4 linked regions of the Saccharomyces cerevisiae S288C genome follow. Changing the gene in region 1 together with any one later gene gives a genetic interaction. Each region holds a gene or a part of one and is shown in the gene's direction. Other genes may lie near its edges. The genes, in order: SWI4, IRA2, SCS7 and SSD1.

Region 1 (8,292 bases):
GCATCTGGGTTTCCTTTAGGTTTCATAGATCCTGATACAGATAAAACCTATCTGCATAATCACGTAATGCTGGTAATACGTTTTCATGCCAGTGATAATGATAAAAATACCATAGTCGGCTTTGAAGTATATCCAAGATCTGTGTCAGATTATCATTGTCCTGGGGCATCGAAGAACTACGAACAATACGAAATAGTCATTCCTGAGGATGAAAATGAGTTGACATATTTGCCATTTACTTACTCCGTATATTGGAGGGAAGAATTTGAAGTAGACTGGAATCATAGATGGGATTATTTCTTGAACGCAGGTGAGTTATCTGACGAACAGAGCATTCAGTTTCATTGGATGAGCTTAGCCAATTCAGTGGGAATTGTATTGTCCATCTCATTTATCACGCTTATTATTTACGTACGAGTCATGTACACGGATAAAAGTAATTCAAAGTCCCCCAAATACATGATAAATATAGAAGGAATTGAAACAGAGGATGACCTGGACGATGACAAGTATGGTAAATACTCCGTTTACACGGTGGCGAAAGACTGGATACAAAATGGTAGACCAAATTTATTTGGTTTAAAAGTTTTAATCCTTCTGGTCTCATTTGGGGTGCAATTTTTATTTACCATAATTGGATCCTTAACGATATCATGTTCAATGAACAAATTGCATAATGTAAGAAACAGTGTGCTAACTATGGCCATTTTATTTTTCGTACTTGGAGCATTCATGGCATCATTCGTAGGGACAAGACTCAGTATGGTAACGAAAACGAAAAGAACCAAGGCCAATTACCTTGACGATAACAGATACCTCAAAGACTACAAGAAGTTTAGTCCCATTTTTACGATACTTTGTGGGTCCAGCTTACCTGGCATTGTAATGGTGAGCACATTTTTATTAAATAGTATTGTTTGGGCACATGATTCTACAAGTGCATTACCATTCAAGACTATTGTGTTTTTCATGAGCATTTATTTCATCGTCTGTATACCACTCAGCTTGTTTGGTGGTATTGTAGCTAATAATATACCTTTGCCTCAATATTGGTTGAGTGGAATTACTAAAGATGAAAGCAATAGCGATGGCAATGGATTATTTGTACCTAAATCACGAGCCAAGTTCAACCCGTTGGTTTACTGCGGCATTTATTTATGTGGTATTTTCCCCTTGTTAGTAATTTACGTGGAAATGCAATACGTTTACAAATCTCTCTGGTTGGAGAAAACTACATTTTATTATTTTTACGGATTCCTTTTTTTGAGTATCATACTATTATGCGTGTTAACTATGGAGATATCAATTATTGGAAGTTATTTATTAATGAGATTTTGCTTCGAAGATAAGGTGGTTCGCAACAATTGGAGATGGAAGTGCTTTGAAATGGGATTTAGCGGTGGTGTATATATGGAATTGTATTCGCTATATTACATTTTCGCAGTGCTAAACATCCATGGGTTTTCATCTATCTTAATTTCCATTTGTTATAGTTTAATCTTCAACGTAATGTGCAGTTTAGGGCTTGGCGCATTAAGTTACTTAACGGCTTCATGGTTTATAAATAAAATATACCACCAGAAAGTCAACCTGTAAACTAAAGGAAAGCTCGGTAATAAAAAGAAGAAAAGCTTTTTTTAAAGAAAACGGTAATCAACATTCACATACACACACAGTACATATGTACCAATATATTTATATATGTACATAATTATTATAATACAAAATTTGTTTAAAATTCGACCTTTTGTGGAGAAGAGCTGTTAAAATGATGTTGGACGGACCCACCTAAACCATTGTTCATATTTTGGTTGTTGCTATTGATACTGTTGATACTGTTGTTAATGTTACTGCTGTTGCTGTTGTTGTATTGACGGTTTTGAGAGTATGGACGGCGGTTGCTGTTGCCGTTATTATTATTTCTTCTGTTGTAGTTACCTCTATTGTTGTTTGAATCCCTATTGTTGTAGTATCTTTTATGCCCAGGGCCGTTACTATTAGAGTTATTGTTGGAGTTAATTTGCTGCTTGACCTTGTCAATTATATTATCTTGCAATTTGATAAACTTGATAAAAGTCCCTCTAATATAAATTTCGTTCAATTTTACGGCTTTACTGCTCTCAGCATTGTCTTCTGAATTAATTGCGCTTTCTTCACTATATTCGGTTACATTAGATAAAGTAAGGTTCATCCAGTTATCTACGTTGGTCAATATCCCTTGTATAATTTCACCGTTTTTCAATTCTATTTGCATTTGTTGTCCCTTCGCATTTGTTAAAAGATATAAAGGTAGCATTGAGAAAAAATATTCTATTGTGTTTCTTTTCAGTTCGAGTTGAAGATTTATCAGTTTTTCAACTCTGTTTTACTAATACTACTTCGTTAATTTACTTTTACGATTTCCTTCTTTACCGCTTCCATCATTAGGAAGGTCTATGATACTACGATTTCACGAAAGAAAGCTGCAATAATTGAACATCATTGCTACTCCGTAAAACATGATAGTAAGAGTGCTTATCACGTGACACGTGTGCGGCAAATTTCGTAATTGATGATCAAAATGCGTGTGGGCGGCTACAATGCGGAATTTGCCTTTTTCATAGTACAGGAAACTGGCGGTAAAGGAAAAGTAGTACTTTAAACTCATTTAAAATTACTTATCACTATGAATATCTTTAAATTATTGTTATACATAATAAACTATCTATTAAAAAAAAGATGCTACCCAATTCACGTTGTCCATGGTTATTTTAGAGCCTAAAAATAAAAGGCAGTAGGTTTAGAGGGACTTCAGTACAAGTAGATAACGAACGAAGCAATTACTCTGTGTACGGTGGCGGAAAAAATGAAATGTTACTTAAGAAGGAGGTAATATAAGTACATTACATTTCAACCGCATTGTGACTGCGTACTTTAAACGATAGGTGACTGCGGATCTTAGGTCGTTTAGCAGCATACGAAAATTAGTTTTACTAAACTAGACATCTAGTAAAAGGCTGTCGAAATCTCTCAATTTAAAGAGAACCTGCTACTGACTATAAATTTTGTCACTACAAATTATTGGTTTAATCTAGCCTTCATTATGGATACAATTACCTTCGGCGGCTAAAAACAACTTGATTTTGTTACCCGCGTTTGAAGTGACGCGTCACTAACCATGACGCGAAAGTTAATTATATTCAGCTCCCCGCCTGCTTATTTCCCGTTTAGGAAATAAATGGTTAACCTAACAAAAAAAAAAGAGGAACAAGGACTAAGAAGCACGTCAACGTGAAAAACGCACAAAAGATATTATAGTTATTGCCATCCTTTAGCATTGGTTTAGCATATCAACTAATTGACTAATATTTGCTGCTAAATTCAACTGGAAGCTTTTTTTTTTTTCGAGATAATAAAAAAAGAAACTCTTTAGTGTATTGTGTTATTTTTACTATTAATTGTTGTTACAGCAGAATCACATCTAGCATTGGTCGTCGCTTTTTCAAACGATTCTTCCTCCACTTACCCTTTGAAAAAAAGGTACATTATTTCACGTTATTTGATATATTGTCAACAATAATTGCTCTTTGCCGAAAATTAACTCTTCTTTCTTTCTCATTTCCCTTCTGTCCCTCTTGCGTAGTTCTAAAAGGTTGATTTATTCGAGAAATCATGCCATTTGATGTTTTGATATCAAACCAAAAAGATAATACCAATCACCAGAACATCACGCCAATATCAAAATCAGTTCTTTTGGCGCCTCATTCAAACCATCCAGTGATTGAAATAGCTACGTATTCAGAAACCGATGTATACGAATGCTATATACGTGGGTTTGAAACTAAAATAGTGATGAGAAGAACTAAAGATGATTGGATTAATATTACCCAGGTTTTCAAAATAGCTCAATTTTCGAAGACGAAAAGAACTAAAATACTGGAAAAGGAATCAAATGATATGCAACATGAAAAAGTTCAAGGTGGGTATGGTAGGTTTCAAGGTACTTGGATCCCACTGGATTCAGCGAAGTTTTTAGTCAATAAGTACGAAATAATTGACCCTGTGGTCAACTCCATCTTAACTTTTCAATTCGATCCAAATAACCCTCCACCAAAGAGAAGCAAAAATAGTATATTGAGGAAGACTTCGCCGGGAACGAAGATAACTTCTCCATCGAGCTACAATAAAACACCAAGAAAAAAGAACAGTAGTTCATCAACATCGGCTACAACTACAGCTGCGAATAAGAAAGGCAAGAAAAATGCATCGATCAACCAGCCGAATCCAAGTCCTTTACAAAACCTTGTTTTCCAAACTCCTCAACAGTTCCAAGTAAATTCATCAATGAATATAATGAACAATAATGATAACCACACCACGATGAATTTCAACAATGACACAAGACACAATTTAATAAATAATATTAGTAACAACAGCAATCAATCTACTATTATTCAACAACAAAAATCCATTCATGAAAACTCTTTCAATAATAATTATTCGGCAACTCAGAAACCTCTTCAATTTTTTCCAATTCCGACAAATTTACAAAACAAGAACGTTGCTCTGAATAACCCTAATAATAATGACAGTAATAGTTACAGCCATAACATCGACAATGTCATTAACAGCAGTAATAACAATAATAATGGCAATAATAATAACTTGATCATAGTTCCAGACGGACCTATGCAAAGCCAACAACAACAACAACATCATCATGAATATTTGACGAATAACTTCAATCATTCCATGATGGACTCCATTACAAATGGCAATAGTAAAAAAAGGAGGAAAAAGCTGAATCAATCTAATGAACAACAATTTTACAACCAGCAAGAAAAAATACAAAGGCATTTCAAATTAATGAAGCAACCCTTATTATGGCAATCCTTTCAAAATCCAAATGATCACCATAATGAGTACTGTGACAGTAACGGCAGCAACAATAACAACAACACTGTAGCATCCAATGGCTCCTCCATTGAAGTATTTTCATCAAATGAAAATGATAACAGTATGAATATGTCTTCACGATCTATGACACCGTTCAGCGCAGGAAATACTTCATCTCAAAACAAGTTGGAAAACAAAATGACAGATCAAGAATACAAGCAGACGATATTAACAATACTATCATCGGAAAGGTCTTCTGATGTAGATCAAGCGTTGTTGGCTACTTTATATCCGGCGCCCAAAAATTTTAACATAAATTTTGAAATTGATGATCAAGGTCACACTCCACTCCATTGGGCTACAGCTATGGCGAATATTCCTTTGATAAAAATGCTAATTACCTTAAATGCTAATGCATTACAGTGTAATAAGCTCGGTTTTAATTGCATCACAAAATCAATTTTCTACAACAATTGCTACAAGGAGAATGCTTTCGATGAAATAATATCCATCTTAAAAATATGTCTTATAACTCCCGACGTAAATGGAAGATTGCCATTTCATTATTTAATTGAATTGAGCGTTAATAAGTCCAAAAATCCAATGATAATAAAATCTTATATGGATTCGATAATATTGAGCTTGGGTCAGCAGGACTACAATTTGTTGAAGATATGTTTGAACTACCAAGATAATATAGGGAACACTCCACTGCATTTATCTGCTTTAAACTTGAACTTCGAGGTTTACAACAGACTGGTATATCTTGGTGCGTCAACAGATATATTGAATCTAGATAACGAATCGCCTGCGTCAATAATGAATAAGTTTAATACTCCGGCTGGCGGGTCAAACAGCAGAAACAACAACACCAAGGCAGATCGAAAGTTAGCTCGAAACCTTCCTCAAAAGAATTATTACCAACAACAGCAACAGCAACAGCAACCACAAAACAATGTCAAAATTCCAAAAATTATAAAAACTCAACATCCTGATAAAGAAGATTCTACTGCAGATGTCAATATAGCTAAAACAGATTCTGAAGTCAACGAAAGTCAATACCTGCATTCCAACCAGCCAAATTCTACAAATATGAACACTATTATGGAAGACTTGTCGAATATTAATTCTTTCGTGACGTCGTCTGTCATTAAAGATATAAAGTCTACGCCGTCCAAAATTCTTGAAAACTCTCCCATTTTATACAGAAGAAGATCACAGTCAATATCAGATGAAAAAGAAAAGGCAAAGGATAATGAGAATCAAGTTGAAAAGAAAAAGGATCCCTTGAATAGTGTGAAAACTGCCATGCCATCATTGGAATCGCCTTCTTCCCTTCTGCCGATACAGATGTCTCCACTAGGAAAGTACTCAAAACCGCTTTCGCAGCAGATCAACAAATTAAATACAAAAGTTTCTTCTCTACAAAGAATAATGGGTGAAGAAATTAAAAATCTGGACAACGAAGTAGTAGAAACCGAATCCTCTATTTCTAACAATAAGAAGAGATTGATTACAATAGCACATCAAATAGAGGATGCTTTCGATTCCGTATCAAACAAAACTCCCATAAATTCGATATCAGATTTACAATCAAGGATTAAAGAAACATCGTCAAAGTTGAATTCTGAAAAGCAAAATTTTATTCAAAGCTTGGAAAAATCTCAAGCTTTAAAACTGGCTACAATTGTCCAGGATGAGGAATCAAAGGTTGATATGAATACTAACTCAAGTTCACATCCAGAAAAACAGGAAGATGAAGAGCCAATTCCAAAGTCAACGTCGGAAACTTCTTCTCCTAAAAACACCAAAGCGGACGCCAAATTTTCTAATACTGTACAAGAATCATATGATGTAAATGAGACGTTGAGACTAGCAACGGAACTAACTATTCTACAGTTTAAAAGAAGGATGACAACATTGAAAATAAGCGAAGCTAAAAGCAAAATTAATTCATCGGTGAAGTTAGATAAATACAGAAACTTGATTGGTATCACAATTGAGAACATTGACTCAAAATTGGACGATATAGAAAAGGATTTGAGGGCAAACGCATAAATTTTAATTCACAATGTACCAATAATTTTTACTATATTATCAGAGTTTTTAAATTTTTTTTTTTTTTTTTTGGTAGCAATTTTTTACATATTTGTATAGTCACTTTTCTCATTGCGCTTGAGTTGCTTCAAGTGCATGTCAACAAACATTTGAACTACTAAACTTAGACTATTATGGTTAGCCCTTTGCTAATTATCAGGATGTCTTTTATTACGATTGTGCTTTGTTTTCGTACAATATGATGAATGGAAAGCGCGATGAGATGAGGTCGAAAAAAAAAAAAAAAAAAAAAAAAATAGAAACATCCACTTATCCATAGATCCTTCATTTTATTTGTTGTCAGGTTTGGTATTGATTTTATTAGTCAACAAAAAAGAATAGGCAAGACCCCGCAAGGATCCTTCTTCTCGTTTCTGTATATTACCAAAATCCTGCCTTAGCAGCATAAAAACTGAGGGACGAAAAACACTTTTTTAGTATCAAGTAGTATAATGGATCAACAATTTCTAAGTCAACTTGAGCAAACTTTGCACGCTATCACTTCTGGTGTAGGCTTGAAGGAGGCTACAAAAACTTTGCAAACTCAATTTTATACCCAGCCTACAACTTTGCCAGCTTTGATTCATATTTTGCAGAACGGCTCCGATGATTCGTTGAAACAACTAGCTGGTGTTGAAGCTAGAAAGTTGGTTTCCAAGCACTGGAACGCCATTGATGAATCCACTAGAGCCTCCATCAAAACATCTCTTTTACAAACAGCATTTAGTGAGCCAAAAGAAAATGTTCGTCATTCCAACGCTCGAGTAATTGCTTCTATTGGTACTGAAGAGCTAGATGGTAACAAATGGCCAGATTTAGTCCCTAACCTAATCCAAACTGCTTCTGGTGAAGACGTTCAAACAAGACAAACTGCCATTTTTATTTTGTTTTCTCTGTTGGAAGATTTCACCTCTTCTCTATCTGGCCACATCGATGACTTTTTGGCTTTGTTCTCTCAGACAATTAATGATCCATCTTCTTTGGAGATCAGATCATTATCTGCCCAGGCTTTGAACCACGTTTCTGCTTTGATTGAAGAACAAGAAACCATCAACCCTGTTCAAGCTCAAAAATTCGCCGCCTCAATTCCATCTGTGGTTAACGTTTTAGACGCAGTTATCAAGGCCGACGACACCATGAACGCTAAATTAATCTTTAACTGTTTAAACGATTTCCTGCTATTGGACTCCCAATTAACAGGAAACTTTATTGTGGATTTGATTAAGCTGTCTTTACAAATTGCTGTTAACAGTGAGATTGACGAAGATGTTCGAGTTTTTGCTCTTCAATTCATCATATCTTCATTGTCCTACAGAAAAT
Region 2 (7,297 bases), on another chromosome or scaffold:
AACTTTTTCACAGAGTTGAAAACAGTCAAACAACTTGAGGACGTTTTTCAACGTTACCATGACTATGAGAGGTTATCACAAGAATGTGACAGTAAGACGGAAATCGCCTCTGACCATTCGAAAAAGGAAACTAAAATAGAAGTGGAACCCCCAAATGAGCGCTCATTGCAAATCACAATGAACCAAAGGGACAATTCATTGTATTTCCAGTTGTTTAACAACACAAACTCTGTTTTGGCAGGCAACTGCAAACTGAAGTTTACTGACGCTGGCGATAAGCCAACCACGCAAATTATTGACATGGGTCCTCATGAAATAGGAATAAAGGAGTACAAGGAATACCGATACTTTCCATACGCACTTGATTTAGAGGCCGGCTCCACTATCGAGATTGAAAATCAGTATGGAGAAGTGATCTTCTTGGGCAAGTATGGCTCTTCTCCAATGATTAACTTAAGGCCACCTTCAAGATTATCTGCAGAAAGTTTACAGGCATCCCAAGAGCCATTTTACTCCTTTCAAATCGATACGTTACCAGAACTGGATGACTCTAGTATCATCAGTACATCCATTTCACTCTCTTATGACGGTGACGACAATGAAAAAGCCCTGACTTGGGAAGAACTCTAGGTCAAACTCTATTTTTATACAGCAATGAGTACCTTTTCACATACACATAAATATATTAAATATAATAAATACAATAAATATAAAATAACCCTTTTCGAAACTCTTTACTTCCTAAGGCCTCTCATTACTTATCACCTAGCATCATGCTCTTCATACATGCCATCTACTTTCAAACGATATACGGCTAACCAGAAAAGTACGGACAATCAGGGACGAGCAGGGACATGACGCCTTCCGCACAGATCCCAGAGAAAAGCAGGGAAACAAGAAAATAAGAAAACAAGAAAAACAGTAGTTACCCTTGTAAGTGTCATCCACAACAGAACCAATACTCTTACTCTTCCGCTCATTCCCCGCAGAATGATAGAACTATTCTAAATCCCCTTGCCTTGCTTGGCCTTGACTTGGGTTGGGACTTGGACCTCTAGAACCGATGTGCCTTCAAACATCTTAGCGAGATAAGAGTCTGCCATTAATGCATCGAGCCAATATCTTGGACTAGTACGAGGTTCACGTAGCCTTTCTTGCACGGCACCAGCGTCCCACCCCAAGTTCTTTGCTATACTGACCGCCTTACACATTTTAGTGTGATTCCAACCCAAAGTAGCTCCTCAAAAAGGGTCACCCGATCGGTGAATCAATCCGCGGCGCAGAAATGTTCGTAGAGCTCTCGTTTCTTCTAGAACGCTCCCTTGATGAAACGAAAATTTCCATCACAATAAAGCTCGCACGCCTTTTTGAAAACCCCAAGCTTTGCTGTGTCTTCTTGTGAAAAGTTTTGCCCAACGATTATCTATTCTACATATAACCGGGGAGTTAAGCACATCCTATTGCCCTACATTCTCTCCGCTTACTTCATTGTCTAGAGCTCCTGGGAAACAAAAGACCGAAAAAGCGAAAACAAAATCAGAACAAGGCTTAAGTACTTTTTCACCAATTGTAGCAAACATTTAACCACATTTTAGCACACTAGCATATAGCATTGTCCTCTGTTATTCGTTTTGCTTTTCTCCTTTAGTGTTACTTTTCCCCCAACGTTACACCATTTTTTGATATCAACTAAACTGTATACATTATCTTTCTTCAGGGAGAAGCATGTCCCAGCCCACTAAGAATAAGAAGAAAGAACACGGGACCGATTCCAAGTCATCCCGCATGACTCGGACGTTGGTTAATCATATTCTTTTTGAAAGAATTCTCCCGATCCTTCCGGTGGAGTCTAATCTAAGTACCTATTCGGAAGTGGAAGAGTATTCCTCATTCATTTCATGCAGATCTGTGCTCATTAACGTTACCGTTTCCCGAGATGCAAATGCTATGGTGGAAGGCACCTTGGAGTTGATAGAATCGCTTCTTCAAGGGCACGAAATCATTTCAGATAAGGGTAGCAGTGACGTTATTGAATCAATACTGATTATACTAAGATTGTTAAGTGATGCGCTAGAGTATAATTGGCAAAATCAAGAAAGCCTTCATTACAACGACATTTCGACTCACGTAGAACATGACCAAGAACAGAAGTACAGACCAAAGCTTAACAGTATTCTGCCCGACTACTCGTCGACTCATTCCAATGGCAACAAACACTTTTTCCACCAGAGCAAACCTCAGGCACTGATACCGGAACTGGCATCGAAATTGCTTGAGAGTTGCGCGAAGTTGAAGTTCAATACAAGAACTTTGCAAATTTTACAAAATATGATCAGTCATGTTCATGGAAACATTCTAACGACTTTGAGTTCCTCGATTCTTCCCCGCCACAAATCCTATCTGACAAGGCACAACCATCCTTCTCATTGTAAAATGATTGACTCTACTCTAGGCCATATTCTCCGATTTGTAGCGGCTTCCAATCCGTCCGAGTATTTTGAATTTATCAGAAAGAGTGTGCAAGTGCCCGTAACACAGACACACACGCATTCACACTCCCATTCACACTCTTTGCCATCTTCCGTTTATAACAGCATAGTGCCCCACTTTGATCTTTTCAGCTTCATCTATTTAAGCAAGCATAATTTTAAGAAATACTTGGAACTCATCAAAAACTTATCGGTGACGTTAAGGAAAACGATTTATCATTGCCTACTTTTGCATTACAGCGCCAAAGCAATAATGTTTTGGATAATGGCTAGGCCTGCGGAATATTATGAACTCTTCAACTTATTAAAAGATAATAACAATGAACACTCGAAATCCTTAAACACGTTAAACCATACACTTTTCGAGGAGATCCATTCGACTTTTAATGTGAATAGCATGATAACCACCAATCAAAATGCTCATCAAGGCTCATCTTCCCCTTCGTCCTCCTCGCCATCGTCACCACCTAGCTCATCATCATCGGATAACAACAATCAAAACATAATAGCAAAATCCTTAAGTCGTCAGCTTTCTCACCACCAGTCATACATTCAACAGCAGTCTGAAAGAAAACTACATTCTTCATGGACTACAAACTCTCAATCCTCTACTTCACTGTCATCTTCAACGTCTAATTCAACAACAACTGATTTCTCTACTCACACTCAACCAGGAGAATATGACCCTTCCTTACCAGATACTCCCACGATGTCTAACATCACTATTAGTGCATCTTCATTATTATCTCAAACTCCAACTCCAACAACACAATTGCAACAGCGGTTGAACTCAGCAGCTGCAGCCGCCGCCGCAGCTGCTTCACCATCGAATTCCACCCCAACTGGATACACAGCAGAGCAACAAAGTCGCGCTTCATACGATGCACACAAAACTGGCCATACTGGTAAGGATTATGACGAACATTTTTTGTCTGTCACTCGTTTGGATAATGTTTTGGAGTTATACACGCACTTTGATGATACTGAGGTACTACCACACACATCCGTACTGAAGTTTTTAACTACTTTGACAATGTTCGATATTGACCTTTTTAATGAATTAAACGCTACATCATTCAAATATATTCCTGATTGTACTATGCATCGTCCAAAAGAAAGAACAAGTTCTTTCAATAATACTGCACACGAGACAGGTTCCGAAAAGACTTCGGGTATAAAACATATTACACAAGGCTTAAAGAAATTAACTTCTTTACCTTCCTCAACCAAAAAAACTGTAAAATTTGTGAAGATGTTGCTAAGAAATTTAAATGGGAATCAAGCTGTATCAGATGTTGCCCTCTTAGATACAATGAGGGCCTTACTATCATTCTTTACAATGACTTCTGCGGTCTTTCTCGTGGATAGAAACTTACCCTCAGTACTTTTTGCCAAGAGACTCATCCCCATAATGGGGACAAATTTAAGCGTCGGTCAAGACTGGAATTCAAAAATAAATAACAGTTTGATGGTTTGTTTGAAAAAAAACTCCACCACGTTTGTTCAATTACAATTAATATTCTTCTCTTCAGCTATTCAATTCGATCATGAATTATTACTGGCACGTCTGAGCATCGATACAATGGCCAACAATTTAAACATGCAGAAGCTATGCCTTTATACTGAAGGATTCAGGATATTCTTCGACATACCAAGTAAGAAGGAATTGCGGAAGGCAATTGCGGTTAAAATTTCTAAATTTTTCAAAACATTATTCTCCATTATAGCAGATATTCTTTTACAAGAATTTCCGTATTTTGATGAGCAAATCACCGACATAGTTGCTTCCATTCTTGACGGTACAATTATCAATGAGTATGGTACGAAGAAACATTTCAAGGGGAGCTCACCCTCTTTATGTTCGACAACCCGGTCAAGATCAGGATCTACATCTCAAAGTTCAATGACACCAGTTTCTCCGCTGGGACTGGATACTGATATATGTCCAATGAACACCCTGTCTTTAGTTGGTTCAAGTACTTCAAGAAATTCTGACAACGTTAATTCATTAAACAGTTCACCAAAGAACTTGTCTTCTGATCCATACTTGTCACATCTTGTGGCCCCAAGAGCGCGTCATGCTTTAGGTGGGCCATCTAGTATTATAAGGAATAAAATACCGACTACATTGACTTCACCTCCAGGAACGGAAAAATCTTCACCAGTACAACGTCCGCAAACGGAAAGCATCAGTGCCACACCAATGGCCATAACAAATTCTACTCCATTATCGTCGGCAGCATTCGGAATTCGATCGCCTTTGCAGAAAATAAGAACGAGGCGTTATTCCGATGAAAGTTTAGGAAAATTCATGAAATCAACAAATAATTACATTCAAGAACATTTGATACCAAAAGATTTGAATGAAGCAACTCTTCAAGATGCTAGAAGAATAATGATTAATATTTTCAGTATTTTTAAGAGACCGAATAGTTACTTCATCATTCCTCACAATATAAACTCGAATTTACAATGGGTTTCGCAGGATTTTAGAAATATTATGAAACCGATTTTCGTCGCCATCGTAAGTCCGGATGTAGATTTACAGAATACTGCTCAATCATTCATGGATACCTTATTATCGAATGTTATTACTTATGGTGAATCAGATGAGAATATCAGTATTGAAGGGTATCATCTTCTTTGCAGTTACACTGTAACATTATTTGCAATGGGCCTTTTCGATTTGAAAATTAATAATGAAAAGCGTCAAATTCTCTTGGATATAACTGTCAAGTTTATGAAGGTTAGATCACATTTAGCAGGGATCGCGGAGGCCTCACACCACATGGAATACATAAGTGATTCTGAAAAACTCACCTTTCCGCTGATTATGGGGACTGTTGGTAGGGCCCTATTTGTTTCATTATACTCTAGTCAACAAAAAATTGAAAAGACTTTAAAGATTGCTTACACAGAGTATCTTTCTGCAATCAATTTTCATGAGAGGAATATTGATGATGCTGATAAAACTTGGGTTCATAATATTGAGTTTGTAGAAGCGATGTGTCATGACAACTACACAACTTCTGGTTCAATTGCTTTCCAAAGGAGGACAAGAAATAATATTTTACGATTTGCTACTATTCCTAACGCTATCTTACTTGATTCTATGAGGATGATCTATAAGAAGTGGCATACTTACACACACAGTAAAAGTTTAGAAAAACAAGAACGGAACGACTTCAGAAATTTCGCGGGTATTTTAGCCTCTTTGTCGGGTATCCTATTCATCAATAAAAAGATATTGCAAGAAATGTATCCATACCTACTCGACACCGTTTCAGAATTGAAAAAAAATATAGACTCTTTTATCTCAAAACAATGCCAATGGTTAAACTATCCGGATTTATTAACGAGAGAAAATTCAAGAGATATTCTAAGTGTAGAACTGCATCCTTTGTCTTTTAACTTACTTTTTAATAATTTGAGGCTCAAGTTAAAAGAACTTGCTTGTTCAGACTTATCAATACCAGAAAATGAAAGTTCCTATGTTTTATTAGAACAAATAATCAAAATGCTGCGGACAATCCTAGGTCGTGATGATGACAATTATGTAATGATGCTTTTTTCCACAGAGATTGTAGATCTTATTGATTTATTGACAGATGAAATAAAAAAAATACCAGCCTATTGTCCAAAATATCTCAAGGCAATTATTCAAATGACCAAAATGTTCAGTGCCTTGCAGCACTCAGAGGTTAATTTAGGTGTCAAAAATCATTTTCACGTTAAAAATAAATGGTTGAGGCAAATCACTGATTGGTTTCAAGTGAGTATTGCGAGAGAGTACGATTTCGAAAACTTGTCAAAACCTCTAAAAGAAATGGATTTGGTAAAAAGAGACATGGATATTCTATACATAGATACGGCAATCGAAGCTTCAACCGCTATTGCGTACCTCACGAGACATACTTTCTTAGAGATTCCACCTGCCGCGTCAGATCCCGAACTATCTCGATCTAGGTCTGTGATATTTGGGTTTTATTTCAACATCTTAATGAAAGGCCTTGAAAAAAGTAGTGATCGTGACAATTACCCAGTATTCTTGAGGCACAAAATGAGTGTCCTCAACGACAATGTAATACTTTCATTAACAAATCTTTCAAACACCAATGTTGATGCGAGTTTGCAGTTCACCTTACCGATGGGCTATTCCGGAAATCGAAACATTAGGAATGCATTTTTGGAGGTCTTCATTAATATCGTTACGAACTATCGGACATACACGGCTAAAACTGACCTTGGAAAATTAGAGGCAGCAGACAAATTTTTGCGATATACGATTGAACATCCCCAGCTATCGTCCTTTGGAGCAGCGGTTTGTCCCGCTAGCGATATTGATGCTTATGCTGCTGGCTTAATAAATGCATTTGAAACGAGGAATGCCACCCACATTGTAGTGGCACAGTTGATTAAAAATGAAATTGAAAAATCTTCCAGACCTACGGATATCCTTAGAAGAAATAGCTGTGCTACGAGATCATTATCTATGCTAGCCAGGTCCAAGGGTAACGAATATTTGATTCGCACTTTGCAACCATTACTAAAAAAAATTATCCAGAACAGAGATTTTTTTGAAATTGAGAAACTAAAACCGGAAGATTCAGATGCTGAACGTCAAATAGAGCTCTTCGTTAAATACATGAATGAATTATTGGAATCCATATCCAACTCCGTATCTTATTTTCCCCCTCCTTTATTTTATATTTGCCAAAACATTTATAAAGTTGCGTGTGAAAAATTTCCGGATCACGCAATTATCGCCGCTGGGTCTTTCGTGTTTTTACGGTTTTTTTGTCCTGCTT
Region 3 (6,184 bases), on another chromosome or scaffold:
AAGGTGGCATCTAATAGGTTTCGACGTTTTTCTTTTTTTAAGGTTTTTATTTGGTCTCCTAGAATTTAAGGTCTTAGTTAGTTTTGGTTTGTTTTGTGGGTTACATATTTTCAATTCAAAGGAGAATTTAGCTGTCTTTTATAATGTCCAATAGAGATAACGAGAGCATGCTGCGTACTACATCAAGCGATAAGGCGATCGCTAGTCAAAGGGATAAACGGAAGTCTGAAGTTTTGATTGCTGCACAGTCCCTTGACAATGAAATCCGCAGCGTAAAAAACCTAAAAAGATTGTCGATTGGGTCAATGGATTTACTTATTGATCCAGAATTAGATATAAAATTCGGTGGGGAATCTAGTGGGAGACGATCATGGTCTGGCACGACATCCAGTTCTGCGTCAATGCCAAGTGACACAACCACCGTTAATAACACACGATATAGCGATCCAACTCCGCTAGAGAACTTGCATGGGAGGGGTAACTCAGGGATAGAATCCTCCAATAAGACTAAACAAGGTAACTACTTAGGTATAAAAAAAGGTGTTCACTCTCCATCCAGGAAATTAAATGCTAACGTATTAAAGAAAAACTTATTATGGGTTCCCGCCAATCAACACCCTAACGTTAAGCCTGATAATTTCCTAGAGCTTGTACAAGATACTTTACAAAATATACAACTAAGCGACAATGGTGAAGATAATGATGGGAATAGCAATGAAAATAACGATATTGAGGATAATGGGGAGGATAAAGAATCACAATCATATGAAAATAAGGAGAACAACACTATCAACTTGAACAGGGGGCTGTCAAGGCATGGAAACGCGTCACTAATACGAAGGCCTTCAACATTGCGGAGGTCATATACAGAGTTTGATGATAACGAAGATGACGATAATAAGGGAGACAGTGCCTCTGAAACAGTAAATAAAGTCGAAGAAAGAATCTCCAAAATAAAAGAGAGACCAGTGTCGTTAAGAGATATAACTGAAGAACTGACAAAGATCTCAAATAGTGCAGGACTAACCGACAATGATGCCATTACATTAGCCAGAACTCTTAGTATGGCTGGTTCATATTCAGATAAAAAAGATCAACCACAACCGGAAGGGCATTATGATGAAGGAGATATTGGTTTTTCAACTTCACAAGCGAATACTTTGGATGATGGTGAATTTGCCTCCAATATGCCCATCAATAATACCATGACATGGCCTGAACGATCGTCACTGAGAAGGAGTAGATTCAACACTTATCGAATCAGGTCACAAGAGCAAGAAAAAGAAGTAGAACAAAGTGTGGATGAAATGAAAAACGACGACGAAGAACGTCTAAAATTGACCAAGAATACAATAAAGGTCGAAATAGATCCGCACAAATCCCCTTTTAGACAGCAAGATGAGGATTCTGAGAATATGAGTTCGCCTGGGTCAATTGGTGATTTTCAAGACATTTATAATCATTACAGACAGTCTAGTGGCGAGTGGGAACAAGAAATGGGAATAGAGAAAGAAGCCGAAGAGGTACCCGTCAAGGTTCGAAATGACACAGTAGAACAAGACTTAGAGTTAAGAGAGGGAACAACAGACATGGTAAAGCCAAGCGCAACGGATGACAACAAAGAAACGAAGCGACATCGTCGAAGAAACGGATGGACATGGTTGAACAATAAAATGAGCAGAGAAGACGATAACGAAGAAAACCAAGGGGACGATGAAAATGAAGAAAACGTGGATTCACAAAGAATGGAGCTCGACAATTCCAAAAAACATTATATTTCTCTATTTAATGGCGGTGAGAAGACGGAGGTGTCAAATAAAGAAGAAATGAACAATTCAAGTACTTCCACCGCCACATCACAGACAAGACAGAAAATCGAGAAAACTTTTGCGAACCTATTCAGAAGAAAGCCACACCACAAGCATGATGCATCATCATCACCCTCGTCGTCACCATCATCGTCACCATCAATACCAAATAACGATGCCGTGCACGTTCGCGTGAGGAAAAGCAAAAAGCTTGGTAACAAAAGTGGAAGGGAGCCGGTTGAACCCATTGTGTTGCGCAATCGCCCTCGTCCTCACCGTCACCATCACAGCCGTCATGGTTCCCAAAAAATAAGCGTAAAAACCCTTAAAGATTCTCAGCCGCAGCAGCAGATACCATTACAACCACAATTGGAAGGCGCAATAGAGATAGAAAAGAAAGAGGAAAGCGATTCCGAGAGCTTGCCCCAACTACAGCCGGCCGTTAGTGTAAGTAGTACCAAAAGTAACTCTAGAGACAGAGAAGAAGAGGAGGCAAAGAAAAAGAACAAGAAGAGGAGCAATACGACAGAAATTTCCAACCAACAACACTCCAAACACGTCCAAAAGGAGAATACCGATGAGCAAAAAGCTCAACTACAAGCTCCAGCTCAAGAACAAGTCCAAACTTCAGTCCCAGTTCAAGCTTCAGCCCCAGTCCAAAATTCAGCCCCAGTCCAAACTTCAGCCCCAGTTGAAGCTTCAGCTCAAACTCAGGCTCCAGCGGCACCACCATTGAAACATACCTCCATATTGCCCCCAAGAAAGCTTACATTTGCAGACGTCAAAAAACCTGACAAACCAAACTCCCCGGTTCAATTCACAGACAGTGCCTTTGGGTTCCCACTGCCTTTGCTGACAGTGTCTACGGTTATCATGTTCGACCACCGTCTACCAATTAACGTCGAAAGGGCCATATACCGGCTGAGTCACTTGAAATTGAGCAATTCGAAGAGGGGACTGCGCGAGCAGGTATTACTAAGTAACTTCATGTATGCTTATCTGAACTTGGTTAATCACACTCTGTACATGGAGCAGGTAGCCCACGACAAAGAACAACAACAACAACAACAACAACAACCCTGAAAAGGCTTCAGCGCTGCATACATAGACATATACACATCACACGTACATACACGAAAAGATAGCTTTCATGCTCACAAAGCTACGTTCCCCACAGAATATTTCCCAGGACAACAGGGAAAGTTGGACAAACACCAAACTTCTCATAATACAATAGCCGAAAACAGTCTTGCTTTTGATAAAGAGAGCTTTCTGCGGCCGGAAGAAAATGTGCCTATTCCGCGGGGCCGTTCCGCGCAGAAACTACCGCACGACGTCGGAAATATAACGGGGTTTTGCGCGGATTTACTGACGTGTGACATCTTTTCGCAGTTAATTTTTTTTTCAATTTGGAACCGTATAAGAACAGAGGTATTAGATAGTAGAAGCTATTGTGTCTATTGTCTTTGATTAGTTTTTTTTTCTATTGTTATCGTGGCAGGCACTAAAAGCGGTGGTAAGCTAAAACTAGTACGAAGATGTCGACTAATACTTCCAAGACTTTGGAACTGTTTTCAAAAAAGACGGTACAAGAACACAATACTGCCAATGACTGCTGGGTCACTTATCAAAACAGAAAGATTTATGACGTGACCAGGTTTTTGAGCGAACACCCTGGTGGTGACGAGTCCATCTTGGACTATGCTGGTAAGGACATTACTGAGATCATGAAAGACTCAGATGTGCATGAACACAGCGACTCCGCGTATGAAATCCTTGAGGACGAATATTTGATTGGTTACTTGGCAACTGACGAAGAGGCAGCGAGATTGTTGACTAACAAGAACCATAAGGTTGAAGTGCAGTTGTCAGCTGACGGTACTGAGTTTGACTCCACTACTTTTGTAAAGGAGTTGCCCGCCGAGGAGAAACTAAGTATTGCTACGGACTACAGTAACGACTACAAAAAGCATAAATTTTTGGATCTGAACCGTCCTTTGCTGATGCAGATTCTGCGTAGTGATTTCAAGAAAGATTTTTACGTTGACCAAATCCATAGACCAAGACATTACGGTAAGGGGTCTGCCCCGCTATTTGGTAATTTCTTGGAACCATTAACTAAAACAGCTTGGTGGGTTGTTCCAGTTGCTTGGTTGCCTGTAGTTGTGTACCACATGGGTGTTGCTTTGAAGAACATGAACCAGCTATTTGCATGTTTCTTGTTCTGTGTCGGTGTCTTTGTTTGGACTTTGATTGAATACGGTCTTCACCGTTTCCTATTTCATTTCGATGATTGGTTACCTGAAAGTAACATCGCATTCGCCACACATTTTCTACTACATGGTTGCCATCATTACTTGCCCATGGACAAGTACCGTTTAGTTATGCCACCTACTCTGTTCGTCATCCTTTGTGCTCCATTTTACAAGTTGGTATTTGCTCTGCTGCCACTTTATTGGGCTTACGCTGGTTTTGCTGGCGGTCTTTTCGGTTATGTCTGTTATGACGAATGTCATTTCTTCTTGCACCACTCTAAATTGCCTCCCTTCATGCGTAAGTTGAAAAAATATCACCTGGAACATCATTATAAAAACTACCAACTGGGATTTGGCGTCACATCCTGGTTTTGGGACGAAGTTTTTGGCACCTACTTAGGCCCCGATGCCCCATTGTCCAAAATGAAATATGAATAATTATTGGTCAGCCTCGTCCAAAATTGTCAACCTAGGAAAAACAACATTACGAGCAATGAAATCTTGAGCAAAGTTCTTTTCTGCGACATATTTATTTCAAATCTTTATTTATATTATTATATGTAACTACGTATATATACATACACATGGAATGGAATCATAGATGAAATCGATGAACAAGCACGTTATTTCTTAAACGAATATCCAATCGATGACGACTATACGAAAAAGCGGCCTCAAAAAAGAACCGAATTGACAGGTACATTTTTCTTTCACAGATCAGGTTGGCAAAAAAATACTAACCGTATCCTGTGTTACTGTCGTTAGAACAGGAATCAAGATGAGCACAGTGAAGTTATCTGATAGTCCCTAGACTCTCATTGACTTTTTGTAATATTAGGACACAGAATATACTAAGGGTTCTTCTCGAGAATAAATGAACACATAAGCAAATCAGAAATTCTACATACTATAAGAGTACCTCATACCTAATCATTTCTTAATCCATTCCGTTATCAGTAATTGCATTCGAGGTTCCATTAAACTGGTGCCGACATTTATATAGTTATATTGGTCCAATGATCTTATCATCCTCCACACCGTATACAACTATATCTTAGTAAACAACGGCTAGTAAGTGAAACGATGGTCCATTTTAGGCACGAAGAATAAAGTAAAATCTGTATCTGCGTTGCGCAAATCATCAATTGCATTTATGTTGGAACGAGAGTAATTAATAGTGACATGAGTTGCTATGGTAACAATCTAATGCTTACATCGTATATTAATGTACACCTCGTATACGTTTAAGTGTGATTGCACCTATTGCAGAAGGAATGTTAAACGAGAAGCTCAGACAATACTGAAGCTGTGTTAAAGACCTATTAGTTGAACATGTTATGGTAGGTACATATATGAGGAATATGAGTCGTCACATAAATGTATAGTAACTACCGGAATCACTATTATATTGGTCATGATTAATATGACCAATCGGCGTGTGTTTTATATACCTCTCTTATTTAGTATAAGAAGATCAGTAATTATTTCTTCATTAATACTATTTTTTACCTCTAATTATCAACAATTTACATAGCCCAAAGTCATGAGGAGAGCTTCTACTATAAACCTCACTCACAATTCTTTCTTTAGTCAGACGTAGAAACCTAAGATTTGTTAGTATATACGGTTTTCCGTACCAGTACAAGATCCATTGCTTGCGATATTGTTAAAATAGGGACCATCTTTCTTAAAAAGGTTCCATAAAACCGGAAGTTTTAGTGTACACTAACAACAGAAGAAAAAGGTCCTATAGTGTAGTGGTTATCACTTTCGGTTCTGATCCGAACAACCCCAGTTCGAATCCGGGTGGGACCTTCCCTTCATTTTTCGTATTTTACGAAATTTAAACCATCATTTTTTTTTTTTGAACCAATGCGAGAAAAAAATAAAAAGAGAAAGGTAAGAAAAAGAAACCAACCTCTATACAGATACAATCGCTCATCTCGATATACTTATTTTTACATACCAGAGATATCGAAGAAGTTACTCAATTATTTGACAAGTGCTCATCATTATGTCATTTGAAGTTTTGCGTGTGACAGACAAGTCCTAATAGGATATCCTTTAGATAAACCATTGGGGCCCCTTATATGAGGTTTATACACACACATATATATGTAT
Region 4 (8,530 bases), on another chromosome or scaffold:
TTTAAATCTACACAGTTGCCTATCGTTTATCGCCTTATTCTTCAGAAACATTTCATCAACTACTCTGGTGCATTATTTCATGTTAGTTACCATATATACCGGCCGGCCGCATCGGGGTTTTTTGATTGAAAAAATTGGTATATTTTCAGTACACATATAAATAAAACCCTCAATTTGCCTCTCCAACCGTTATAACTATTCCAGATCCTCTTTACCGAGCAAGTAGGCTAGCTTCTGTAAAGGGATTTTTCCATCTAATACAATGAGTGGAGTATCAAATAAAACAGTATCAATTAATGGTTGGTATGGCATGCCAATTCATTTACTAAGGGAAGAAGGCGACTTTGCCCAGTTTATGATTCTAACCATCAACGAATTAAAAATAGCCATACATGGTTACCTCAGAAATACCCCATGGTACAACATGTTGAAGGATTATTTGTTTGTGATCTTTTGTTACAAGCTAATAAGTAATTTTTTTTATCTGTTGAAAGTTTATGGGCCGGTGAGGTTAGCAGTGAGAACATACGAGCATAGTTCCAGAAGATTGTTTCGTTGGTTATTGGACTCACCATTTTTGAGGGGTACCGTAGAAAAGGAAGTCACAAAGGTCAAACAATCGATCGAAGACGAACTAATTAGATCGGACTCTCAGTTAATGAATTTCCCACAGTTGCCATCCAATGGGATACCTCAGGATGATGTTATTGAAGAGCTAAATAAATTGAACGACTTGATACCACATACCCAATGGAAGGAAGGAAAGGTCTCTGGTGCCGTTTACCACGGTGGTGATGATTTGATCCACTTACAAACAATCGCATACGAAAAATATTGCGTTGCCAATCAATTACATCCCGATGTCTTTCCTGCCGTACGTAAAATGGAATCCGAAGTGGTTTCTATGGTTTTAAGAATGTTTAATGCCCCTTCTGATACAGGTTGTGGTACCACAACTTCAGGTGGTACAGAATCCTTGCTTTTAGCATGTCTGAGCGCTAAAATGTATGCCCTTCATCATCGTGGAATCACCGAACCAGAAATAATTGCTCCCGTAACTGCACATGCTGGGTTTGACAAAGCTGCTTATTACTTTGGCATGAAGCTACGCCACGTGGAGCTAGATCCAACGACATATCAAGTGGACCTGGGAAAAGTGAAAAAATTCATCAATAAGAACACAATTTTACTGGTCGGTTCCGCTCCAAACTTTCCTCATGGTATTGCCGATGATATTGAAGGATTGGGTAAAATAGCACAAAAATATAAACTTCCTTTACACGTCGACAGTTGTCTAGGTTCCTTTATTGTTTCATTTATGGAAAAGGCTGGTTACAAAAATCTGCCATTACTTGACTTTAGAGTCCCGGGAGTCACCTCAATATCATGTGACACTCATAAATATGGATTTGCACCAAAAGGCTCGTCAGTTATAATGTATAGAAACAGCGACTTACGAATGCATCAGTATTACGTAAATCCTGCTTGGACTGGCGGGTTATATGGCTCTCCTACATTAGCAGGGTCCAGGCCTGGTGCTATTGTCGTAGGTTGTTGGGCCACTATGGTCAACATGGGTGAAAATGGGTACATTGAGTCGTGCCAAGAAATAGTCGGTGCAGCAATGAAGTTTAAAAAATACATCCAGGAAAACATTCCAGACCTGAATATAATGGGCAACCCTAGATATTCAGTCATTTCATTTTCTTCAAAGACCTTGAACATACACGAACTATCTGACAGGTTGTCCAAGAAAGGCTGGCATTTCAATGCCCTACAAAAGCCGGTTGCACTACACATGGCCTTCACGAGATTGAGCGCTCATGTTGTGGATGAGATCTGCGACATTTTACGTACTACCGTGCAAGAGTTGAAGAGCGAATCAAATTCTAAACCATCCCCAGACGGAACTAGCGCTCTATATGGTGTCGCCGGGAGCGTTAAAACTGCTGGCGTTGCAGACAAATTGATTGTGGGATTCCTAGACGCATTATACAAGTTGGGTCCAGGAGAGGATACCGCCACCAAGTAGCTATATAGAATCAAATCTCATACATAATTTAAAGAACGAGAGTGCAATGTGATGATTGTGATTCCTGATCCTATGTCACGGACGACGACTTGTATCACCTTGAATTTTCTGACCAAAGGGGCCGAGTCGCTTCACGAGGGGATGAGAAAGGAAAAGAAGGGAAAACTAAACTTATATAACGCAGGTGTGTCTTTCTACCATTGCCATCAAGTTATTAAAGGCCACGAACAGGAACGCTAGAGACCTGAGTTTGTCATTTGTTTAGTTCAAGGATTAAATAAACAATCCTTCTACAAATAAGTCCTTTCTTTCACCATCGTCTTAAGACCACTGCCTCCAACGAAAACTAACCTAAAAGAGTTTAGATCACGAGTATTTTCGCTCTTTCCCTCCTTCCCCTGGTTTTTTCTCGTTAGTTCTTTTCATTTAAAAACTCTTCTCTTGTCAAGAATTTAAAAGACGAAGAGTCCAACACCGACTGATTTTCTAACAGCAAAGGAACGAAGTTTTGCCGTGCAAACAATAATTTCTAAATTATAATTTTGAGCCTAGCTGAGAAATAGGAGAGATTATATTTTAGAAAGGTAAGAAGTTTTTCTGTCATTCCTTTTAGAATATTTGCTACGTTCTAACATTTTTTGTTACTCAAGCGCATTTTCTGCAACTTCCCTTATAAGCTATTTCCTTTTTTTGGGACCGATCCTTTCTTCTGTCTTTGGTAACCTAAAAACCGGAATAGTCAAAGTTATCTGCATAGTCTTCTTGCCAGGCTTATTTTCGCCATACCATTTTTCTGGTACCCTAAACATTTTGGTCTTATTTTAGAACAGCTGGTGCCTCGTTTTTCCGCATTAGGCGCACTTTTTTCATAGCCACTATTCTAAAAGAAACAACTTTTTTTCAAAGGGAAATCTAAGTTGCCTGCACGAAGAATAAGACAAGGGTTCATAAACGTATAGTATTTGCCAAGTTCCATCTTTTTCTTTGTCACTTTAATATCGCAAAACAGAACACCAAAAACCTTTCAGCGCAAAGATTTGGCCCAATTATTCCATCTTTATACACTATGTCTAAAAATAGCAACGTTAACAACAATAGATCCCAAGAGCCAAATAACATGTTTGTGCAAACCACAGGAGGTGGTAAAAACGCCCCAAAGCAGATTCATGTTGCACACAGACGTTCCCAAAGTGAGTTGACAAATTTGATGATTGAACAATTCACTTTGCAGAAGCAGTTGGAGCAAGTTCAAGCACAGCAGCAACAGTTGATGGCTCAGCAACAGCAATTGGCACAACAGACAGGACAATACCTGTCAGGAAATTCTGGCTCTAACAATCATTTCACGCCTCAACCGCCTCACCCTCATTACAACTCAAACGGTAATTCACCTGGTATGAGTGCAGGTGGCAGCAGAAGTAGAACTCACTCCAGGAACAACTCCGGATATTATCATAATTCATATGATAACAATAACAATAGCAATAATCCTGGGTCTAACTCACACAGAAAGACGAGTTCACAATCCAGCATATATGGCCATTCCAGAAGACATTCTTTAGGTCTAAATGAAGCGAAAAAGGCTGCTGCGGAAGAACAAGCTAAAAGAATATCTGGGGGTGAAGCAGGCGTAACTGTGAAGATAGATTCTGTTCAAGCTGATAGTGGCTCAAATTCTACTACAGAACAATCTGATTTTAAATTTCCACCACCACCAAATGCTCATCAGGGCCATCGTCGCGCAACTTCAAACCTATCACCTCCCTCTTTCAAATTTCCTCCAAACTCTCACGGGGATAATGACGATGAATTCATAGCAACCTCTTCAACGCACCGCCGTTCAAAGACAAGAAACAATGAATATTCTCCAGGCATTAATTCCAACTGGAGAAACCAATCACAGCAACCTCAACAGCAGCTTTCTCCATTCCGCCACAGAGGATCTAATTCAAGGGATTACAATTCCTTCAATACCTTAGAACCTCCTGCGATATTTCAGCAGGGACACAAACATCGTGCCTCTAATTCATCAGTTCATAGTTTCAGTTCACAAGGTAATAATAACGGAGGTGGACGTAAGTCCCTATTTGCACCCTACCTTCCCCAAGCCAACATTCCAGAGCTAATCCAAGAAGGGAGACTAGTAGCTGGTATATTAAGAGTTAATAAAAAGAATAGATCGGATGCCTGGGTCTCTACAGATGGCGCTCTTGATGCGGATATTTACATTTGCGGCTCCAAAGATCGTAATAGAGCACTTGAAGGTGATTTAGTCGCGGTAGAACTATTAGTTGTGGACGATGTTTGGGAGTCCAAGAAAGAAAAGGAAGAAAAGAAGAGGAGAAAGGATGCCTCTATGCAACACGATCTAATTCCTTTGAACAGTAGTGACGATTACCACAACGATGCATCTGTTACTGCTGCAACAAGCAACAATTTTCTATCTTCTCCCTCCTCGTCTGATTCGCTAAGCAAGGATGATTTATCCGTCAGAAGAAAGAGGTCATCTACTATCAATAATGATAGTGATTCCTTATCATCTCCTACCAAATCAGGAGTAAGGAGAAGAAGTTCATTGAAACAACGTCCAACTCAAAAGAAAAATGACGATGTTGAAGTTGAAGGTCAGTCATTGTTATTAGTTGAAGAAGAAGAAATCAACGATAAATATAAGCCACTTTACGCAGGCCATGTCGTTGCTGTTTTGGACCGTATCCCTGGTCAGTTATTTAGCGGTACATTAGGTTTGTTGAGACCATCCCAACAAGCTAATAGCGACAATAACAAACCACCACAAAGCCCAAAAATTGCTTGGTTCAAGCCTACTGATAAGAAGGTGCCATTAATTGCAATTCCTACAGAATTAGCTCCAAAGGACTTTGTTGAAAACGCTGATAAATACTCCGAAAAGTTATTCGTTGCCTCTATTAAACGTTGGCCAATCACATCTTTGCATCCATTTGGTATTTTAGTTTCCGAACTTGGAGATATTCACGATCCTGATACTGAAATTGATTCCATTTTAAGGGATAACAATTTTCTTTCGAATGAATATTTGGATCAAAAAAATCCGCAAAAAGAAAAACCAAGTTTTCAGCCGCTACCATTAACGGCTGAAAGTCTAGAATATAGGAGGAATTTTACGGACACTAATGAGTACAATATCTTTGCAATTTCCGAGCTTGGATGGGTGTCTGAATTTGCCTTACATGTCAGGAATAACGGAAATGGTACCCTAGAGCTGGGTTGTCATGTTGTTGATGTGACCAGCCATATTGAAGAAGGCTCCTCTGTTGATAGGCGTGCGAGAAAGAGGTCCTCTGCGGTGTTCATGCCACAAAAACTTGTCAATTTATTACCACAATCGTTCAACGACGAACTGTCGTTGGCCCCTGGCAAGGAATCAGCCACGCTGTCGGTTGTTTACACTCTAGACTCATCTACTTTAAGGATTAAATCTACTTGGGTAGGCGAATCTACAATTTCCCCCTCAAACATCTTGTCTTTAGAACAATTAGACGAAAAATTATCTACTGGAAGTCCCACTAGCTACCTCTCTACTGTACAGGAAATTGCTAGATCATTTTATGCTAGAAGAATAAATGATCCAGAAGCTACATTACTTCCCACCCTGTCCTTATTGGAAAGCTTGGATGACGAAAAAGTTAAGGTTGACTTGAACATCCTGGATAGAACTTTAGGCTTTGTTGTAATTAATGAGATTAAAAGAAAGGTCAACTCCACTGTTGCAGAGAAAATTTACACCAAACTTGGTGATCTAGCTCTTTTGAGAAGGCAGATGCAACCCATTGCAACCAAGATGGCGTCATTTAGAAAGAAAATTCAAAATTTTGGTTACAATTTTGATACCAATACGGCGGATGAATTAATCAAAGGGGTGCTAAAAATTAAAGATGACGATGTTAGAGTCGGAATTGAAATTTTACTGTTTAAAACCATGCCAAGAGCTAGATACTTTATTGCTGGCAAAGTAGACCCGGACCAATATGGGCATTATGCCTTGAACCTACCTATCTACACACATTTCACAGCGCCAATGAGAAGATACGCTGATCATGTCGTTCATAGGCAATTAAAGGCCGTTATCCACGATACTCCATACACCGAAGATATGGAAGCTTTGAAGATTACCTCCGAATATTGTAATTTTAAAAAGGACTGTGCTTATCAAGCACAGGAACAAGCAATTCATCTATTGTTGTGTAAAACAATCAACGACATGGGAAATACTACAGGACAATTATTAACAATGGCTACTGTCTTACAAGTTTACGAGTCCTCCTTTGATGTATTTATTCCAGAATTTGGTATTGAAAAGAGAGTTCATGGAGATCAACTACCTTTGATCAAAGCTGAGTTTGATGGTACCAATCGTGTCTTGGAATTGCATTGGCAGCCCGGCGTAGATAGTGCAACTTTTATACCAGCAGATGAAAAAAATCCAAAATCCTATAGAAATTCCATTAAGAACAAATTCAGATCCACAGCCGCTGAGATTGCGAATATTGAACTAGATAAAGAAGCGGAATCTGAACCATTGATCAGCGATCCATTGAGTAAGGAACTCAGCGATTTGCATCTAACAGTACCAAATTTAAGGCTACCATCTGCAAGCGACAACAAGCAAAATGCTTTAGAAAAATTCATTTCTACTACTGAAACCAGAATTGAAAATGATAACTATATACAAGAAATACATGAATTGCAAAAGATTCCTATTCTATTGAGAGCTGAGGTGGGGATGGCTTTGCCATGTTTAACCGTCCGTGCATTAAATCCATTCATGAAGAGGGTATAATCTCTTCTACCAATATCGTCATTGCTGTTTTTCTTGTTTTTCACTTTCGTTCTTTGGATTGTGCTTCACCCCTCAGTATCCCTTCCCTTTGTTTTTATTTCCTGCGAACATTAACAACTGCATGAATTTTGTACTTCTCCTTTTAATCCACGTTCCGGTAAGGCATCATCCAAATTTTTTTATTCGACCTCGTTAAGTCATATATTTTTTCCCAAAAATACATAAAACAATAATGCAGCCTTCTTTTCAATATTTACAACTTTTCAATTTATATTGTCTTTTGTTATTTATACTCTTATATATTAAATTTATTCCGTTACTAAATACCCTTTTGCTGTACAAATATCATCAAAGAGAAGTACTGAAAGCTTACTTTTTATGCGCTGGGTAATTTTTCCGGAAACAATAACGAAATCATCGTCGAGCAATTTTGCTCGTACTTCAGAAACTACTGCGTAAACATTTGAGGTCGTACAATAAGTAGATAGAAATAAATAAACCAATTTTTCGTCAGCGTTTAATCTGTAGCCAAAGATTTGTGGTATTCTCACAGTTTGAATAATATTCAGCTACTTCATCAAGTAGTTTTTTTCAATAGGAGATTCACGGTTCAATAAGTGCATTGATTATGTTCGACCAATTAGCAGTCTTTACCCCTCAAGGTCAAGTACTTTACCAATATAACTGTTTAGGAAAAAAGTTTTCTGAAATACAAATTAACAGCTTTATATCCCAGCTGATTACTTCCCCAGTAACTAGAAAAGAAAGTGTTGCAAACGCAAATACAGACGGATTTGATTTCAATCTTTTAACAATCAACAGCGAACACAAAAATTCTCCTTCATTTAATGCACTATTTTATTTGAATAAGCAACCAGAATTGTATTTCGTAGTGACTTTTGCCGAGCAGACTTTAGAGCTTAATCAAGAAACTCAACAAACACTTGCACTGGTGTTAAAACTCTGGAACTCATTGCATTTAAGTGAATCCATTCTAAAAAATCGTCAGGGCCAAAACGAAAAGAACAAGCATAACTACGTCGATATTCTTCAGGGAATTGAAGACGACCTGAAGAAATTTGAGCAATATTTTAGGATAAAATATGAAGAGTCAATAAAACAAGACCATATCAATCCAGATAATTTTACCAAAAATGGATCAGTACCCCAATCGCATAATAAAAATACCAAGAAAAAATTGAGGGATACAAAAGGTAAGAAGCAATCTACAGGAAATGTTGGTAGTGGGAGAAAGTGGGGCCGTGATGGTGGCATGCTTGATGAAATGAATCATGAAGATGCAGCCAAATTAGATTTCTCATCATCCAACAGCCACAATAGTAGCCAAGTAGCTCTAGACTCCACTATTAATAAAGATTCTTTTGGGGATAGAACAGAAGGAGGCGATTTCTTAATCAAAGAAATTGATGATCTTTTGTCTTCTCATAAAGACGAGATAACTAGTGGGAACGAAGCTAAAAATTCTGGATACGTCAGTACAGCTTTTGGATTCCTTCAAAAACACGTTCTAGGTAACAAAACGATCAATGAAAGTGATTTGAAATCTGTATTAGAGAAGTTAACACAACAATTGATAACCAAAAATGTAGCACCAGAGGCAGCAGACTATTTAACACAGCAAGTCTCACATGATCTTGTAGGCTCAAAAACTGCAAATT

The links.
Region 2: mutations in SWI4 (region 1) and IRA2 together harm fitness more than expected from each alone (negative genetic interaction), as found in Saccharomyces cerevisiae (5 studies listed by BioGRID).
Region 3: mutations in SWI4 (region 1) and SCS7 together harm fitness more than expected from each alone (negative genetic interaction), as found in Saccharomyces cerevisiae (4 studies listed by BioGRID).
Region 4: mutations in SWI4 (region 1) and SSD1 together harm fitness more than expected from each alone (negative genetic interaction), as found in Saccharomyces cerevisiae (6 studies listed by BioGRID, with this or other methods).

Annotation. Positions count from the first base shown.
Region 1 is NC_001137.3:381,236-389,527, reverse strand, and holds SWI4 (SBF complex DNA-binding subunit SWI4), read left to right. Parts: upstream 1-3,651; coding exon 3,652-6,933; downstream 6,934-8,292. Other genes in the region: TMN3 (Tmn3p), read left to right, coding at 1-1,596; U6 snRNA complex subunit LSM4, read right to left, coding at 1,733-2,296; karyopherin KAP123, read left to right, coding at 7,425-8,292. UniProt on the Saccharomyces cerevisiae protein: Part of a complex involved in cell-cycle-dependent transcription. SWI4 and SWI6 are required for formation of the cell-cycle box factor-DNA complex. The repeated element in the upstream region of HO (5'-CACGAAAA-3') is called the cell cycle box (CCB).
Region 2 is NC_001147.6:169,345-176,641, forward strand, and holds the start of IRA2 (Ras GTPase activating protein IRA2), read left to right. Parts: upstream 1-1,725; coding exon 1,726-7,297. Other genes in the region: ATG19 (Atg19p), read left to right, coding at 1-630. UniProt on the Saccharomyces cerevisiae protein: Inhibitory regulator of the Ras-cyclic AMP pathway. Stimulates the GTPase activity of Ras proteins.
Region 3 is NC_001145.3:807,940-814,123, reverse strand, and holds SCS7 (fatty acid alpha-hydroxylase), read left to right. Parts: upstream 1-3,346; coding exon 3,347-4,501; downstream 4,502-6,184. Other genes in the region: ZDS1 (Zds1p), read left to right, coding at 144-2,891; YMR272W-B (uncharacterized protein), read right to left, coding at 2,928-3,035. UniProt on the Saccharomyces cerevisiae protein: Ceramide hydroxylase involved in the hydroxylation of sphingolipid-associated very long chain fatty acids. Postulated to hydroxylate the very long chain fatty acid of dihydroceramides and phytoceramides at C-2.
Region 4 is NC_001136.10:1,043,961-1,052,490, reverse strand, and holds SSD1 (mRNA-binding translational repressor SSD1), read left to right. Parts: upstream 1-3,098; coding exon 3,099-6,851; downstream 6,852-8,530. Other genes in the region: sphinganine-1-phosphate aldolase DPL1, read left to right, coding at 263-2,032; SRP101 (signal recognition particle receptor subunit alpha), read left to right, coding at 7,480-8,530. UniProt on the Saccharomyces cerevisiae protein: Can suppress the lethality due to deletion of SIT4, and partially the defects due to BCY1 disruption. Is implicated in the control of the cell cycle G1 phase.